2 linked regions of the Canis lupus familiaris genome follow. The protein of the gene in region 1 binds, or shares a complex with, the protein of each later gene. Links are inferred from orthologs where the notes say so. Each region holds a gene or a part of one and is shown on either strand. Other genes may lie near its edges.

The links. The genes of interacting proteins can lie anywhere in the genome.
Region 2: DRC7 (region 1) and CCDC153 share a complex: the UniProt entries of both Homo sapiens proteins name them as parts of the nexin-dynein regulatory complex. The link is inferred for Canis lupus familiaris from reciprocal best matches to the Homo sapiens genes DRC7 and DRC12.

The regions. Positions count from the first base shown.
Region 1 is NC_049223.1:58,031,364-58,039,453, forward strand, and holds part of DRC7 (dynein regulatory complex subunit 7), read right to left. Parts: coding exon 8,072-8,090; intron 7,034-8,071; coding exon 6,905-7,033; intron 4,867-6,904; coding exon 4,794-4,866; intron 3,614-4,793; coding exon 3,485-3,613; intron 3,297-3,484; coding exon 3,168-3,296; intron 2,225-3,167; coding exon 2,004-2,224; intron 1,384-2,003; coding exon 1,168-1,383; intron 631-1,167; coding exon 520-630; intron 436-519; coding exon 325-435; intron 1-324. UniProt on the Homo sapiens protein: Component of the nexin-dynein regulatory complex (N-DRC) a key regulator of ciliary/flagellar motility which maintains the alignment and integrity of the distal axoneme and regulates microtubule sliding in motile axonemes.
Region 2 is NC_049226.1:14,705,705-14,712,667, reverse strand, and holds the end of CCDC153 (coiled-coil domain-containing protein 153), read right to left. Parts: 5' UTR 4,796-6,963; coding exon 4,574-4,795; intron 4,272-4,573; coding exon 4,190-4,271; intron 3,781-4,189; coding exon 3,715-3,780; intron 3,299-3,714; coding exon 3,179-3,298; intron 2,633-3,178; coding exon 2,540-2,632; intron 2,449-2,539; coding exon of another isoform or gene 2,255-2,448; exon of another isoform or gene 1,226-2,254; intron 1,213-1,225; coding exon 1,082-1,212; intron 783-1,081; coding exon 654-782; 3' UTR 359-653; downstream 1-358. UniProt on the Homo sapiens protein: Component of the nexin-dynein regulatory complex (N-DRC), a key regulator of ciliary/flagellar motility which maintains the alignment and integrity of the distal axoneme and regulates microtubule sliding in motile axonemes.

The sequences.
Region 1 (8,090 bases):
AGGTCCTGACCTTGGGGAGAGCCCTGAGTGGAGGTGGGTACATGATTTTCCTTCTTTCCCCATGCAGTAGAGGCCTCTACAGCTTGGCCATAGCCCCTGGAGGTGGGGGGAGACCTGGTCTGGATCCTGCATGCTCTTTGGAGTTCATCCTAGAAATGGGCAGCTCCGCAGCAAGGATGACCGCAATGATGTCAATAATGTCATCCCCTATAAAGAGCCTCCGGCAGCCTCCCTAATCATCCTCACCACCTTGGAGGCCTGGTTGTTGTTGGTGGTGGGGGTGTACAGGAAACGCCAGGGCCTGGGCCAGGGAACAAGGCTCACCATGGCCTCCCGATACTCTTTGCTCTTCTCGTTGCGCTTGGTGTCATAGATGGAGATGGCCAGTGTGTGCGCGTCGTCCTCCTCCTCTTGAAGCTTCAGGATCTCCAGCACCTGAATTGGGAAGTAGGGGAGGGCAAGGTTAAGACACTCTCCACTCCTGCCACCTCCTACCTGCCCACGCTCCGATGGGACCACCTCTAGCTCCGACTCCCAGGCCTGATGTCTGGACAACTTCTCCTCATTCCTCAGCTTCATCATGGCCTCGTACTGGTACAGAAGCTTCTTGGTGTGCTCCATGGGCTCCACCTGGGACGACAACAAGCACAGTGACAAGGAGAGGCAGCAGCGGCTAAGGTGGTGGGCAGACTCTGGAGCCAGACTGCTCGGGTTCAAATCTTCCCCCACCATTTTCTAGCTGTGTGACCATAAGCAACTGGCTTAACCTCTCTGAACCTCAGTCTCTTCATCTATAAAAACACAGATAATAAAAGAAGACGAGCTGGAGGCTCAGACTAAGGAATGTGCCAGGAGGGTGAGGATTTCAACGACGGAAGCCGGCTCTGTAGAGGTGGTGGGACCTTCTCCCACTCCAGTGTTGGCCCCAGGGTCTGGGGTCGGCTCTCTCCAGGACTGGGGGGAAGGGTCAGTAAGGACAAGTCTTGGCCTGTTGGGTTGTCTTTCTTGGTGGGAAAGGGGGAAGATTTTCAGAGGAGCGGCAGTGACAAGGGTCCCCAGATGGGAGCTCCTGAGTTTCCCAAGGGGCGGAGATAAAGTTCCCAGCTGGGAGCCATGAGTTAGGGTGCGGGCGACCCAGAGGGAACCACCGCGGCGCCCCAGGCCCACCTCAAAGCTGATACACATGTCGGGCGTCATGATGATCTTGTTGCCCTTGCTGTCCACCTCCGTGCGCCGCAGGAACTCGCGCTTGGAGGCCGTGATGTGGTCGTCCCGGCAGTGGTAGCGCAGCTGGATGCGCTCCTCCTGGATCAGAAATGTGCGCTCGGCCACGTCCTCGTCCGCAGGCTTCTCGGGGTTGCGGGAGAACCGCTCTGTGATTTTCTGGTGGGAAGGGGATTTCTGCGCGTGCCGCCGGGGGCAGAAGTACAGGACGCTCAGGGACCCCGGGCTCTGGGGTCTTGGGGGACCTTCCGTGGAGCAGCCCTTCCTGCCGCCGATGGCTCCCCAGGGCCCCGTGGGTCCTCAGCCGGGCCACCTCAGCCCTGATGCTGCGGCATTTCTTCTCTTCCCGCACAGGGTTCTATTTGCTCACCTCCAGAGATAGGGAGCTCACCACCTCGCCAGGCGCCCTGCTTTATCACTACACATCCCTTCCTGCTGGGAAGAGCTCCTTGGGTAGACAGCCATTAGCCACAGCTGCCAGGTCATTTGCAGGGATGTGGAGGGAAAAGGGCCGATTCAATGTGAGGTGAGCGATACAGGGGTCCTACCTTCGCTCACACACACATCTCAAATAGGTTAGAAAAGACTCCCAAGAACCAAGCCTATGGACACTGGCACAGTAGTATCTGAGAGCCACCGTTCTAGTGTGCACGTATGGCACAGTGGCAGGGGGCACAATCTCTCCCGCTTTATAACCAGGAGGTGCCCCCTCCTGAAGGTGTGGCTCCAGCGCTGCCGCAGAGAGCGGGCGCCCTGTGCCTGCCCCAACGACAGCTCACCACCACTGGCCGCGGGTTTGACTCTGCGCTGTTCAGAGCCAACTTCTTCACCCTGGGCCCAAAATCCACGTGGCGGTAGGAGAGGAAGTCAGACCGTCCTCGGTAGTGCTCCGTCATCGAGCTGGGCGTCTCCTCCCGCTTTACCAGGCCGTCCACACGGGCTGTCTCGTAGAACTCCATGACCCGGTCCATCTCGGGTTGCATAGACACGTACGAGTGCGCTGTGGTGGGAGGCGGGGGCCGGGAAGGCAGCGGGGTGAGACCAGGAGCGCTGGCCCCTGGCTTGAGAACCCGGGCCCGGGCCCCAGGGAGAAGGCATGTCCATGGATGCTCGCGGATGAGCAGGACTTATGGAACCAATGCCCCACTGCTGGGTGTTCAGGTTGTTTCTCACCTTTTTGTCATTAGAAACAACACCAGGGTGAACATTCTTTAGTTCTTGCCCAGTATTTGCTCAGGACAAATTCTCAGAGGTAGCACAGCTGGTCGAAAAGCGTATGTATTTTAAAGCTATTATTATTTTGCCCAACTACTTTCTCGAAAAGTTGAGCCAGTTTGCTGTCCTATGAGCAGTGACAGGGAGCAACTCTCTGCTGCTTTGCTTACACACCGGTAGGACCATTTTGTCATCTTCGCAACATGAGGTTTGTAAAACGGCTCCTTCCTTCCTTCCTTCCTTCCTTCCTTCCTTCCTTCCTTCCTTCCTTCCTTCCTTCCTTCCTTCCTTCCTTCCTTTTTCTTTCATTTCAGCCATCAAGTGAGTTTGATCATTTTTAAAGGATATATAATGACACTAGGCTTTTCTTCTCTGTGTCCTTGGTTAGGGCTGTTGATTCTTTCAAGACACATCCTTCCCTCACTTCCCTGCCTCTTGGGCTCATGACCACACCCCTGCCCTCCGCATCGCCCTTGTGGGGGCATTTGTTAGTTTTGTTGCTCTGTGTCCTGACCCCTTAGAAAGGTGGCCTTCAGCATGTGCCTAGCCCTAAGCACAGAATGGGCATGTGGCCCTGGTTTTGACTTTCCTGGAGGGACATTTGTCACATCTTCTGCACTTCCCCTGGCCTCGTGCACATCTGGTTTGCTTAGGGAGGCAGGGGTGGGGGCTTATGTTGCTTGTCATACCCTGGGCTCCCACTGGGACCGACAGCGGGTTCCACTCACCACGCAGAGCCTGGGGATGGCCTGGCTTGAAGTAGTCGATATTCAGACCTGTGCTCTTGTTGATGTGTTTTAGCTCTAGCATATCCTCCCGGTTCTGGTACCACTCCTTTATCTCCAAAGTCTTGGTACCTGCAGGGCACGATCAGTACTTGCCACAGCCAGGCTGGCTCCCCCAGCCTCTGTCCCACCCTTCCCGGCACACAGGTCAGCGGGGGCCCACACGCACAACAAGTGCCTGGCAGGGACGTGCCCAAGGTCACATAGCCCACTGGGGAACCCAGCTCTCCTGCCCTCGCGGCCGGGGCTGCCCGCCTTACACTCCAAGTCCTCGTAGGTGGTGAGGCGGCACACGAGGCCATTGTTGTTGAGATATGGGGCCCACTTCTCCAGCTTGGCCCTCTTGTACTGGATCACCTTCTTCCCACTGGGGCAGCGGGTCTCGAACGCTGCAGACACAGAGTGGGCTGGGGTCCCGCCTCCCCAGATTGGGGCACTAGAGGGCCAACCCCACTCAGCCACTCATCTGGTCACTGTGCTAAACTCCTCCAGGCCCCAAGCCCACTCCAGGGAGACAGAGGGAAGTAGTCACCAGGGTAGCTCCTGCCCTGGAGGAGTTCTCAGCTTTGAGCCTGACCACGGGAGCTGTGCCCTACCACACCACTCACTCGCTGCTGGGCCTCTGCCTGTGCAGGTCTCTCTGCGGGAATCACCATCCCCTCCTGCCCTTACTGGGCTGGCTTCTGATCCCTTAAAACCCTGCTCAGACTCCTCCTCCTCTTGGAAGCCCTTCCTGCCCACCTTCTCCCAGTCCCCAAGCGGGCAGCTGGGCTGGGAACTCCTCCCCTGGTTCCCATGATGCCCTCTCTAGCCCTTCCCACTGTTGGAATACCCTATGCCCTCCGTGTGGGTCTAGGCCTCCCAGACAGGAACCTCAACAGCCAGTAGATGTTGGCGTGGCTCACAAGTGGCCCTTCCCTGCTGCTTTCTCTGCCTACTCCTCCCTGGGGAGCTGCTCCTCCCTGGTCCTGATGCCTCTGCTCCCCTCTGCCATCTGGGTACTATGCTGTTTGGCCTCCTCCTGGCAGGGGGGTGGGGGAGGGCAACAACCACGTCCTGGTCCTCCGTCCTTTATTTTTTTATTATTTATTTTTAAAAATATTTTATTTATTTATTCATGAGAGACACAGACTGAGAGAGAGAGAGAGAGAGAGAGAGAGAGAGGCAGAGACACAGGCAGAGGGAGAAGCAGACTCCATGCAGGGAACCTGATGTGGGACTTGATCCCGGGACTCCAGGATCACACCCTGGACCGAAGGCAGGTGCCAAACCGCTGAGCCACCCAGGGATCCCTCTCCTCCGTCCTTTATTATCCACACTCCATCACCTAGCACAGGTTAACCTGGCACCCCTCCCTTCCTCCCCCGTACACCAGACTGGTGTCAGGCCCCCAGCCACAGAGCTGAGTGCATGTGGCGGGAAGTAGATAGAACAGAGACACTGTTCAGAGCAGGGTGCATCAGGGCACAGCAGAAGGCAGGAGAGGTGGAAATGAGGGGCTGGGGCAGCCTTCACTGGCTCCCCCACTAACTGGTCCTGGGGAGGCAAGGAACACAAATGTGCATGTACCTTCTGGGGAGATCTCAATCTGCTCCACCCATGAGGGTGGCATGTCGAAACTCTTATCCTCATCCTCCTTGCCCTGTTGGGAGAGGTGGGGAGGGGGCAGGCTCTGGTCAGGGCTGGGCCTTGGAGCGGAAGCTAGAGGCAGAGCCTCTGTCTTGCCCCCCCCAGGGCCAAGCCACAGTGGCTGCTAGCTCCCCCAGGGGTGCCAAAGGTCAGGGGCAGTTCTGACCTGGCATGACCCCAGGTAAAGAAGAAAAGGAGGCAGCTCAGGAGCCCCTTGACCCACCTGACCAGGATGGTCAACACCTGGTCGGTCGGCATGGGCACCAGGCACAGCCAGATCCTTCCTAAGAGAGGGGCATCTGGAGTCGGGTGGCCCTCCAGCCCACATCAGCTAGGGGTCCTGGGCAAGTAAGTCCCTCAACTGCTCTGAGCCTGCATCCTGTTACCTGGACTCCATGGGAGGATTACATGTAGAATGTATATGAACCACTTGAGACACTGCCTCGCTACTGTCTTACTCTGCCTTTTTGAGCCTTAGATTCCTCATCTGTAAAATAAGGCCTGGTTTACACAAATGGTCCTCAAGCTAGGTAACTACAGAAAGATTTTCCTCCATTTAAAACTGCCCCCAAACACTGGTCACACCTGGTCCCTCGTCATCTTATCTGTCCACGTCTGGAGGCCAGCAGGGGGCGCCTGTGCCCCGAGACATACTGCCAGGGAGGCTGATCTCCAGAGATGACGCCATGCCAAGCTCCTCCTAACACTGGTCTAATTTTACCCCCAAGCAGTCCAAAGGAGGTAGAACAGAGTCACTGTTCAGATCCCAGCCTTGGGAGCCAGACAGTCAGATCTCAGGTTCAAGCCCCAGCTCTGCCACTCACTGGCCATTGACATTTGGGTAAATCACTTTCCCCCACCTCCGTGTCAGTCTTCCCATCTGTAAAACGGGATGATGATAATCATAAATGATAATACTAACACCGGCCTCACCAGGTGGTTGTAAAGACTTGGACAAGTTAGTTAATTCAGGTTAAGCACCTGCTAATTCAAGCTAAGTGCCTGCTGGCACTTAGGGCCATGGCAGTGTTACTGAGTGTAATGGGCTGAATTGTGTCTCCCTAATCATGTCCTAACCCCCCAGGACCTCAGAAGGTGACTATATTTGGAGACAGAATCTTTCAAGAGGTAGTTAAGTTAAAGTGAGGACACTAGGGTGGGCCATAATCCAGTGTGACTGGTGTCCTTGCTTGAGGAGTAGATTAAGACACGTGTACAGAAGGACCACGTGAGGACACATGCCGAGGAGAGGGGCCTCAGAAGAAGCCAACATGCTGACACCTGGATCTTGGACCTCCAGCTTTCAGAACTGGGAGAAAATTAACTTCTTTGGTTTAAGCCCCTTGGTGGGTGGTACTTGTTATGGCAGCTCTAGCCACCTGCTACCCCTAGTACTATTACTGTGGCTGTAACTGATCCCATTCCCCCACCCTCATTTTACATACAGATGATGAGACTGAAACTCTCCATAATTGGGAAGTTTGCCCAGAGTGTCTCAGCCAAGAGTTAAGGACTTTAGGTGCCTGACCCCCCATAGGCCCTCACAGAGGACATGGGAGAAGGGAAGCTGATGCCATGGGGAAGGCCCCTGGCCAATGGAGGGCTGATATGACAGATAAGAAGGGCCTGGAAGCACGTGAGGGGGATCATAGTGGCTATGCAGGAAGGCCTGCAAATGAGGTCAGAGTCTTGTCACCCCTACTGCAGGGGACATGGCTCTTTATAGAAACAGGGCAACCGCTGACCAGGGTGGACTGTATGTGGGACAGGGGACCCAGATGCAGGTCCCAGCCCTTCCCTACCCCACTGGGGGGTCCTGGGTAGGTCAGCGAACCTGTCTGGGTCTTAGTTTGCCCATCTGTAAAATGAGAGCATGGTCCAGGCCCCTCTGCTTTGGAGAACCTATAATTGGTCTATCTGGCCCATCTCCCCCTACCCTAACCCCACTCAATTCACATGCACAAGGTGGGGACGTTGGTCAGGTTGGCCTGAGGCAAGACAGGGTATAAACCCCCCATCCCACCACCCAGCCCCACACTGCTAAGACCCACCAGGTTCTCCACATCGTCATTGTCATTCATCCCATCATCCTCTTCCTCAGTCAAGGACAGGTGAGATTTATCAGTCCCCAAGAGCAGGTACTCCCACCTCACAGGGTCTCCCAGGTCAAAGATCAAGTCCTGATAGGGGAAGGATGAGCTGAGCACATTCCACAGCCAGCGCAACCCCCTCCTGTTCCACAGGGTGGTGGGGAACAGCTGTACCAGTGTAGAGGAGAGGCCTGGCCAGGGTCTCAGAGGGGCAGAAGGTCAGCTCCAGGCAGCCTATGAGAGTCTACACCCCTCCTCCTCATTTCAACAGGGAAACTGAGGCCCACCCCATTGTCCAGTCTCCCTGTGAAAAAATCCTGCTATTGGCCCTGTGAGATTTGGGACTCCCTGGCCTGGGCCCAGCCTGGATGTGAGGTTATCCTGCACTGACAGGGGAGCATCCCAGGCAGGGTTTGGAGCAGAGGCAAGCCAGAGGATTTTATGGGAGAGGGAGATGGTGGGTTTGAGAAAGGGCTATCGTATGGTTTTTACTCATGCCAGGGAGAGGGAACAAGGCAGGCCAGCGTGGAATTTCACAGAGGAGCAGAGGAGGCAGATGGGAATTTCTTCTCTGTGGAGTGGGGCTCCACCTTCTTTTCATCCAGCCTACCTGAGCTCAGGTGTACAGCTCAATGAATTTCCATAAACCCAGATCAAGAAATAAAACATTGCCCACACTCCAGAAAGTCCTCTTTGTGTCCAGTTATGACCCTCTCCGAAATGTGCACATGTATTTTTAATGTATATAATGGTACTGAGTTTAATATATGTATGTACACACACACTGACACACATCACATATGTGTACATACATATATAAATATATGGGAATTCACTGAACTGTACACTTAGGATGAGTACACTTTTCTGTCTGTATGTTGCACTTCAATACATTGCTTTTAAAAAATCATTCCTACAAATTAACAATCCACATTTTGTCAGGATACACACATCAAAAGAGAGAAAGTAATCATATTAAAATGGATATTTGTGGACAAAGGAGTGGGCTATGGGGACTCAGCAATGGGAAAAGTCTGGAGCTCTGTGGCAGCCAGCTCGCCCCACAGGGCATCCCCCTCCCCAGCCCCAACTGTGCCCATCACACCCACCCCACCCTGGGCCCAGCACCTTGCAGCCGTTCCAACAG
Region 2 (6,963 bases), on another chromosome or scaffold:
TGCAAGAGTTTGGAGACCAGTTACACCTTCTCTCTGTCAGCACCTTAGGATTGTGGGGGCTGGTGCCTGGTCACTGCTGGTCTATTAAAGAAATGGCCTTGCCCCCACAAATCTGGCTACCTGTGTTGGTGCCGGGGAGGGGTGTGGGTAGTGGGAGTAGGGGATGGTGATTTGAAAGGACCCAAAGGGCCCAAGATTCAAGGCATGGGGCCCAGTTTCTCTAAGAGAGGAGTTGAGAGTTTGTCAAATGTCAAATTTCTATCCTCTCATTCAATCTTCAGAGTAATGGGTCCGCCAGAACCAACATGCCCTCAAAGAGATATTTGTATCTGTCAAAAAGGCACAGACCACAGTTCTGTGGAGTTCTACATCAAGACAGCTTTATTGCTGGAGCCTCTCAGAGGCCCAGAGACTAGAAGCTTACAGCTTTATTTTATTTTATTATTTTATTTTTTTAATGTTTTATTTATTTATTCATGAGAGACACAGGGAGAGAGAGAGACAGAGAGAGGCGGAGACACAGGCAGAGGGAGAAGCAGGCTCCATGCAGGGAGCCTGACATGGGACTTGATCCCGGGTTTCCAGGATCAGGCCCTGGGCTGAAGGCGGCACTAAACCGCTGAGCCACCCGGGCTGCCCCGAAGCTTACAGCTTTAGAGATCCAGGGGGTTGAGTCCAAATTGGTGGAGCTGCTCCTTGTACTTGGCGTGAAGTCTCAGCACAGCCCCATCCCACTGAGGCCTGACTGCTCTCAGCTTGGCTAAGAGTTGGTCCAGGTTGCCCTGTGGACACCAAGCTTCAGGCTCCAGGAAGGGAGAGAGGGTAGAGCAAGGGTTTCCCTGGGCTGGTCTGCGAGCTTTCCTCCTAGCATCTTCTTCAGGTTCTTACTCTTACTAAGTAAGTGTGGTTGCGTGCCTTGGCTGTCTGCCCTCGGGGCAGAGCAGGGTTCTCTGTGGAGATGCTTCTCCTCCCCCCTGGTCTCCCATTGATGACAATGATAGTATGAACTAGTTGGGGTTCAGGGGAATGGGGGAGTCCTAGCTACTGGGGTGGTAGGGCTTCCAGAGGTGGTGGTGCTTACATGTAAGATTTCCTCGTACTTGGCCTCCATGTCCACTACATGGGCCCGAAGCTGAGCCAGAGTCTGGTCCCGCTCTCCGAGGGCCCGTTCAGCCTCTTGCTGCGCAGCCTCAGCTTCCCTCTGGCACGTCTCTGCAGGGCAGGGCGGGAGGAGGAAGGGGACTGGGTAGTGACATTCTACTTGTGAACAGAGTCTCCAAAGACACCTCAAAAGCAGAACTTGAATGGGATCATTCCAGACTCCCCCCCCCAGGATCATCAATTTTCCCATAGTTCGTATAAAGATCTGACATATACCATTGAGGTACAGCAGAGAGAGCAGTAGGCTTGGGATGAGAAATGTGCGTCCAAAGTCTGGTTGTCACTTACTACCTGTGTAACTTTGGGTACATCTCTCTCTGAGACTCAGTTTCTTCATCTTTAAAGAGAGATTGATACAAACCTTACAGACTTATTGTGAGTTAAATGTGAGAGTGTATGGGGAAAAATACCTAGTATGTACAGGAGGTGCTCCATAAATGCTGATCGAATTTAAATTTGAAATAAGGCAAGGATTATGAAAGGAATTCAGGGTCCGCATGGCAGATAAGCAACTCTTGGGTATCTGTAGCTAAGCTGAGGCTATTTTAGGGGCCCCTGGCTGACTCTTGGTCTCAGGGTCATGAGTTTGAGCCCCATATTGGGTGTGGCGCCTAGTAAAAAGAAAGAAAGAAAGAAAGAAACTGAGGCTATTTTAGGTTAAGGAAACTCTGAGGTCACAATTGTGAAAGATCTTATGTGTCGTGCTAAGATAGTTCAACTTTATCCTGTAACCAAGAGAGAAAGGAAAAACTTCCTGTCCTTTACATTTTTGCTTCTCTAAAAGGTTTATTCTTTGATTTAGCAAGTAATTATGTAGGGCTTGGCATGCCCAAGGCATTGAGGATATGAAAATAAATAAGTCAAATATCTTTTCTTAGTTTGCATTGTAAACATCAGCTAAGAGGGAATATGTTTTGAGACGCCTGGGTGGCTCAGCAGTTGAGCATCTACCTTTGGCCCAGGGTGTGATCCTGGAGTCCCGGGATTGAGTTCCACATCAGGCTCCCCATATAGTGACTGCCCCCCTCTCTCTGTGTCTCTCATGCATGAATAAATAAATAAAATCTTTAAAAAAAGAAGGAATATGTTTCTTTCATGACAGACATGGCAGTGGAAGGGAGGAAGATCCAGGTTTGGCGAGACCATCGAGAGAGGGAGACAGCGTGAGTCTCTCCGGTTTCTTTAGTTCCACCTTTGAGATTTTGGCCATCTTGAGCCCTCTGCTGCAATCCTCCACGGTGAGAGAGTCAGGGGGGACAATGGTCCAAGAGCCTCGATTGCAGTCTTCTAGAGAAGGACCATTGTAAGTCCATCCCTGCAGGCTGGACCTTGTCAGTGCTCTTTGGAGAGAAAGGGCTTAGGGGGTGGGGAAGCCTACCCAGCTTCTTCCGAAGGCCCATCACTTCTTCCTCCTGCTGCCTCCTGTGGGTCTCCATTTCCTTCTGCAGGGCTCGGCACTGACGACACATCTCTGTGGTGAGGGCAGAGGGTGACCAGGGCCCCGGGTGTGGATGGAGTGGTGGAGAAAGAAAGGGAAGTTGTGGGGGGAAGGGGGGAAGGGCCTGCTTTGTCTGGTGGGAACAAGAGCAGTAAGGTCTTCTCCGTTCCCAGGATTCTGAGAAGCTTTCAGAGCCTGAATACCTGGAGAGAAGCTCAGAAATCACACCCCTCTCCCTCACCCAGCTCAGGACCTGGATTCTAGCCTTTTTCCCCACTCACTCTCACTACATGAATGAGACAAAGGTCATGTAATTTTTTTTGGTGATCCATATCACAGGAAGTGCTTTTTGTAATCCATAAAGCACATGGCATTGGGCATCCTGGAAGGTTCCTGCCTCTGGGTCCCAGAGGCCTTCCTTTGGTTCCTTCAAGCCCCTGCCTGATTCACACTGAGCCAGGAAGGTTGGCGCTAGTCAGTAGCAGGTGGAAATCCTCCTCGGTTCCCTTCTTTACATCCTCTGGCCCCCTTGATTGTCCTTTTCCAGGTCTCTGCCCACCTGTCTGACTGACCACACACCTGCATAGATGGCCTTCCCCTCACTTCGGGCCTCCTCCAATTCAGCCTCCAGCACTTGCAACCTCCACCTGAGCTGGTCTTCAGAGGCTTTGGCTCTGCGAGCCTCATCCCTCCGCAGAGCTGTGAAAAGTCTCAGAGCAGTGCTCACAACTGGCTGGGGTGGGGGTGGGGTGGGGTGGGCTGAATCAGGCCCCGTGGGATTGATGGACTCTGCCCACCTCTGGGAACCTGGTGGGAGATTCCCAGCCTCTCATTCTCTCTCTGAGTTGGTTGGTTGGTTTTCCCCCCCCTAGAATCCCATGAGCTCTTCATTGCTAAGAAGGAAAAACTTCACGTTCTGCTTATAAAAATATAGGTAGGTATGCTCACCCACCTTTGCTGCCCACCCCTTCCTCACAATGTCAATCTTTTATCTATCAGGGAATGAGGGAGAGGTCGGCTCAGCCTCCCACCATGGCTCCAACCCTACAAACCTCCAGCATGCAAAATCCCCCATTGCCCCATCTCTGTTGTCCCAGAGTTTGTACCCTTCTTACCCAAGTGGTCTTGGAGCAACTCCTTTTCCATCACTGCCAGCCTGTGTGCGTATTTGACCTCCACATCTGCCCTAGCAAGTTGGCAGAGCCTCAGTTTATCATGATCTCAGCCTTCCTCTCATCTCCCCGTCCTCATTCCACACCCTGACCTTTCCTCCTGTGGCTCTGAGGACCTCTAAATGAGGGATCTCGGATTGCAGAGTCTGCTGAGTTCACCCCTGTGTCCTGGCTGCCCAGCACAGAGTATACTCAGAATACGGGTGATGAGTATGTTAAGGAAGGCACAGAGCCAGAAGGGCGGCCACAGAGTGGATGCATGCTAATTCCCCCAATTTCCCAGCTCCATGGAACCCTGGCTGGAGGGGGGGGGGGAGAGATGAAGGGGGAGGGATATGAAAGCTTCATCTTATCATTCAGAGGGCTGCATTCTCTCTGGAGCACCTCTGTTTGGTCTCTAAGCTAGAGCATGACTCACCAGCACCTGCATTCTCTTTCTTCTTCTGTGCACCAGTTTTCTTCCTTTTTTCTTTGGTCTTAGGTGGCATCTCCTTGCTGTCCTGGGGAGGGAGAGGACTCATATTTAAGGCTAGACATAGGGCTGCTTTCCTGACCCTAGGCGTCCCAAGAGAGTTGGAGTTCTAGTCTCTGAGTCTGTCTCTTATACTTTCCAGGAGCTTCCATTCTTGGTCTCCTTGGAACCTTAGTCAAGGCTGGGGTGTGGGGAGGGTGGAGCTATTTCTTTCTACCCCTCAGGTTCTGTGGGCAGAAACCATTCCTCTCAATCCTCTTTTGGAGAAAATCAATCTCCCAGTACTCGTCCCTTTCCTCTTCCCATCATCCTTACCCTGCTTCTTCCTACCTGAAGGACCCTCTCTGGCCTCTGTTGTGTCTCCCTGCGGGGTGACCGGCTTACAGGGAGGGGCACAGAGAAAACCCAACCTCGTCGGAGCCCAAGGAGGAGCCTGGGTTCTGGGAACCAATCCAGGGTGACAAAGATCCTTCGAGGGCGGGCCTGAGAACCACAGGGTTGAGTTTCTGGAGACTGAAGGTTGTCCAGGTAACTGGAAAACATGGAGCTCATAGAAGGGTGGTATGTGCCAAGCACAAAGCTTAAGACAGCAAGGTTCTTAGGGGTGGGGGTGAATGGGTGACGGGCACTGAGGGGGGCACTTGACGGGATGAGCACTGGGTGTTATTCTGTATGTTGGCAAATTGAACACCAATAAAAAATAAATTTATTATTAAAAAAAAAAAAGACAGCAAGGTTCTGGAGAGTCCACTCTCTCCTATCCGTAAATCCTCAGTGTAGTTGGAGGGGAAAGGGCTTCAGAGCTGGTTAGCCATGCTTCATTTCCATGTAGCACTGCCTGAAGTCTGGAGACTGAGAAGTTACAGATTTCCATATCTGATACGATGCTGTCACAGGAAAATGCTGAAACAGGAAAAGAGCTGACAGTAGCCATCTTGGGCGATTTACATCACTAGGGCTCATGAGCAAGTGCCATTATTAGGCCTCAGGGAGGTATTCTAGAGTGTGTGAGCGAAAGAAATGCAGGAGAAGGCAGCTGAGAGAGTTTCTCAGTTTGGAGAGAGGAGACACAGAGGAGAGGAGGACCCACAGACTCCAGGGTGCTGACATAAAGGGCTGCAGATGTAGAAGAAAGGGTAGTAGTGGGAGACAAGAGCCATGAGTTCTAGTCCTCCCTCCAGTTACGTAAACTTGGGTCAGTTGTTTAATTTTGCTCAACCTCAGTTTCCTAGTTTTTATTATATATATTTTAAAGATTTTATTTATTTATTCATGAGAGACACGCAGAGAGAGGCAGAGACATAGGCAGAGGGAGAAGCAGGCTCCCTGTGGGGAGCCCCATGCAGGACTTGATTCCAGGACCCCAGGATCACGCCCTGAGCCAAAGGCAGACACTCAACCACTGAGCCACCCAGGTACCCCTTAGTTTCCTGGTCTTTAAGTCTTTGATTTGGTAAATCCTAAAAGGGCTGGGTTTTAACTGGGAATTCACAGGGCCATCTTCCCTTGCGGGGACTTAATTTATTGCCTCTCTTCCTCTATTCCCTTCTGTGGCTGGTTTTCAGTCAGGTGCTGCGAAACTCCTTTGCTAGGCTTCATGTAGAATTGAGTTGGTCGGGGCTCCCTCTAGTGGACTTGCTTGACCTCAGGAGTCTCCTCAATTTTTCTACTTAAATTATTGGGCCATGGGATCCCTGGGTGGCGCAGCGGTTTGGCGCCTGCCTTTGGCCCAGGGCGTGATCCTGGAGATCCGGGATCGAATCCCACATCGGGCTCCCGGTTGCTTCTCCCTCTGCGTCTCTCTCTCTCTCTCTTTCTGTGACTATCATAAATAAATAAAAATAAAAAAAAATTATTGGGCCATGTTGGGAGTGCCTCTCTCTAGGGGATACTTCCTAGCCTCTTGCTGGGGCATGAGTGGTTGGAAAAATGGTTCTGGGGAAGGGAGTATGATGGGTGACTTGTCCTTGTTAGGCAACCCCCAACCCTCTCTCCTCCAGCCCTGTGTTAGTTATTCTGGAGCTTTTTCATCTGTCTGCTGCCTGGATCTCTGGGAACCATACACTTGCTAGAATGAAAACAGCAAAAAACATCAGGGATTTTCCCTTTGTGGATCAAGGAACCTGCAGATTCTCTTGTTATTTCTCTCAATCTCTGTCCCCCTCAACATTTTTGGTCAATTGCCTGTCCTCAGGAGCAGATCTGAAGAAATAGCTTTGCGATCTGGGTTTTAAAAATCCTTTCCCTGGGGAGTGGAGAGATTCAGATGGGGCTGATTTATGCTTATTTGTCACCTTGGTGGCTGCTGGGTACTTCTCTGATGCTTGAGAGATTTTACAGAGTATAGAGAAGAATACTTGCCTTTTCTGGGGCTTATAGTTCCCGTAATGTAGGGTCAGATAACTTTGTTCACAACTCCCAAATCTGGAGAATACTTTTCTTCTCATCTTGAAGTGTGTTTCATTTATTCTCCCCTCAGAACTCTTTCCTCTGCATAGGAATGCAGGAGAGGTTCCCACCACAGTCCTCTCCTCATCTAGAAGCCTGTTTGGGGTCACTTTTCAGGGAATGATTGGTTTCTGCATTGTGCTGATGCATGCGATGACATTTTGAGGACAGAGTTTACAGAATACAAACAACATATCACGCCTCAGAAGAGGATTTACTTTTCAAATATGTTCAGTCAACCGACTTTCAGGTGCAGAATGAGGATGTGGTTT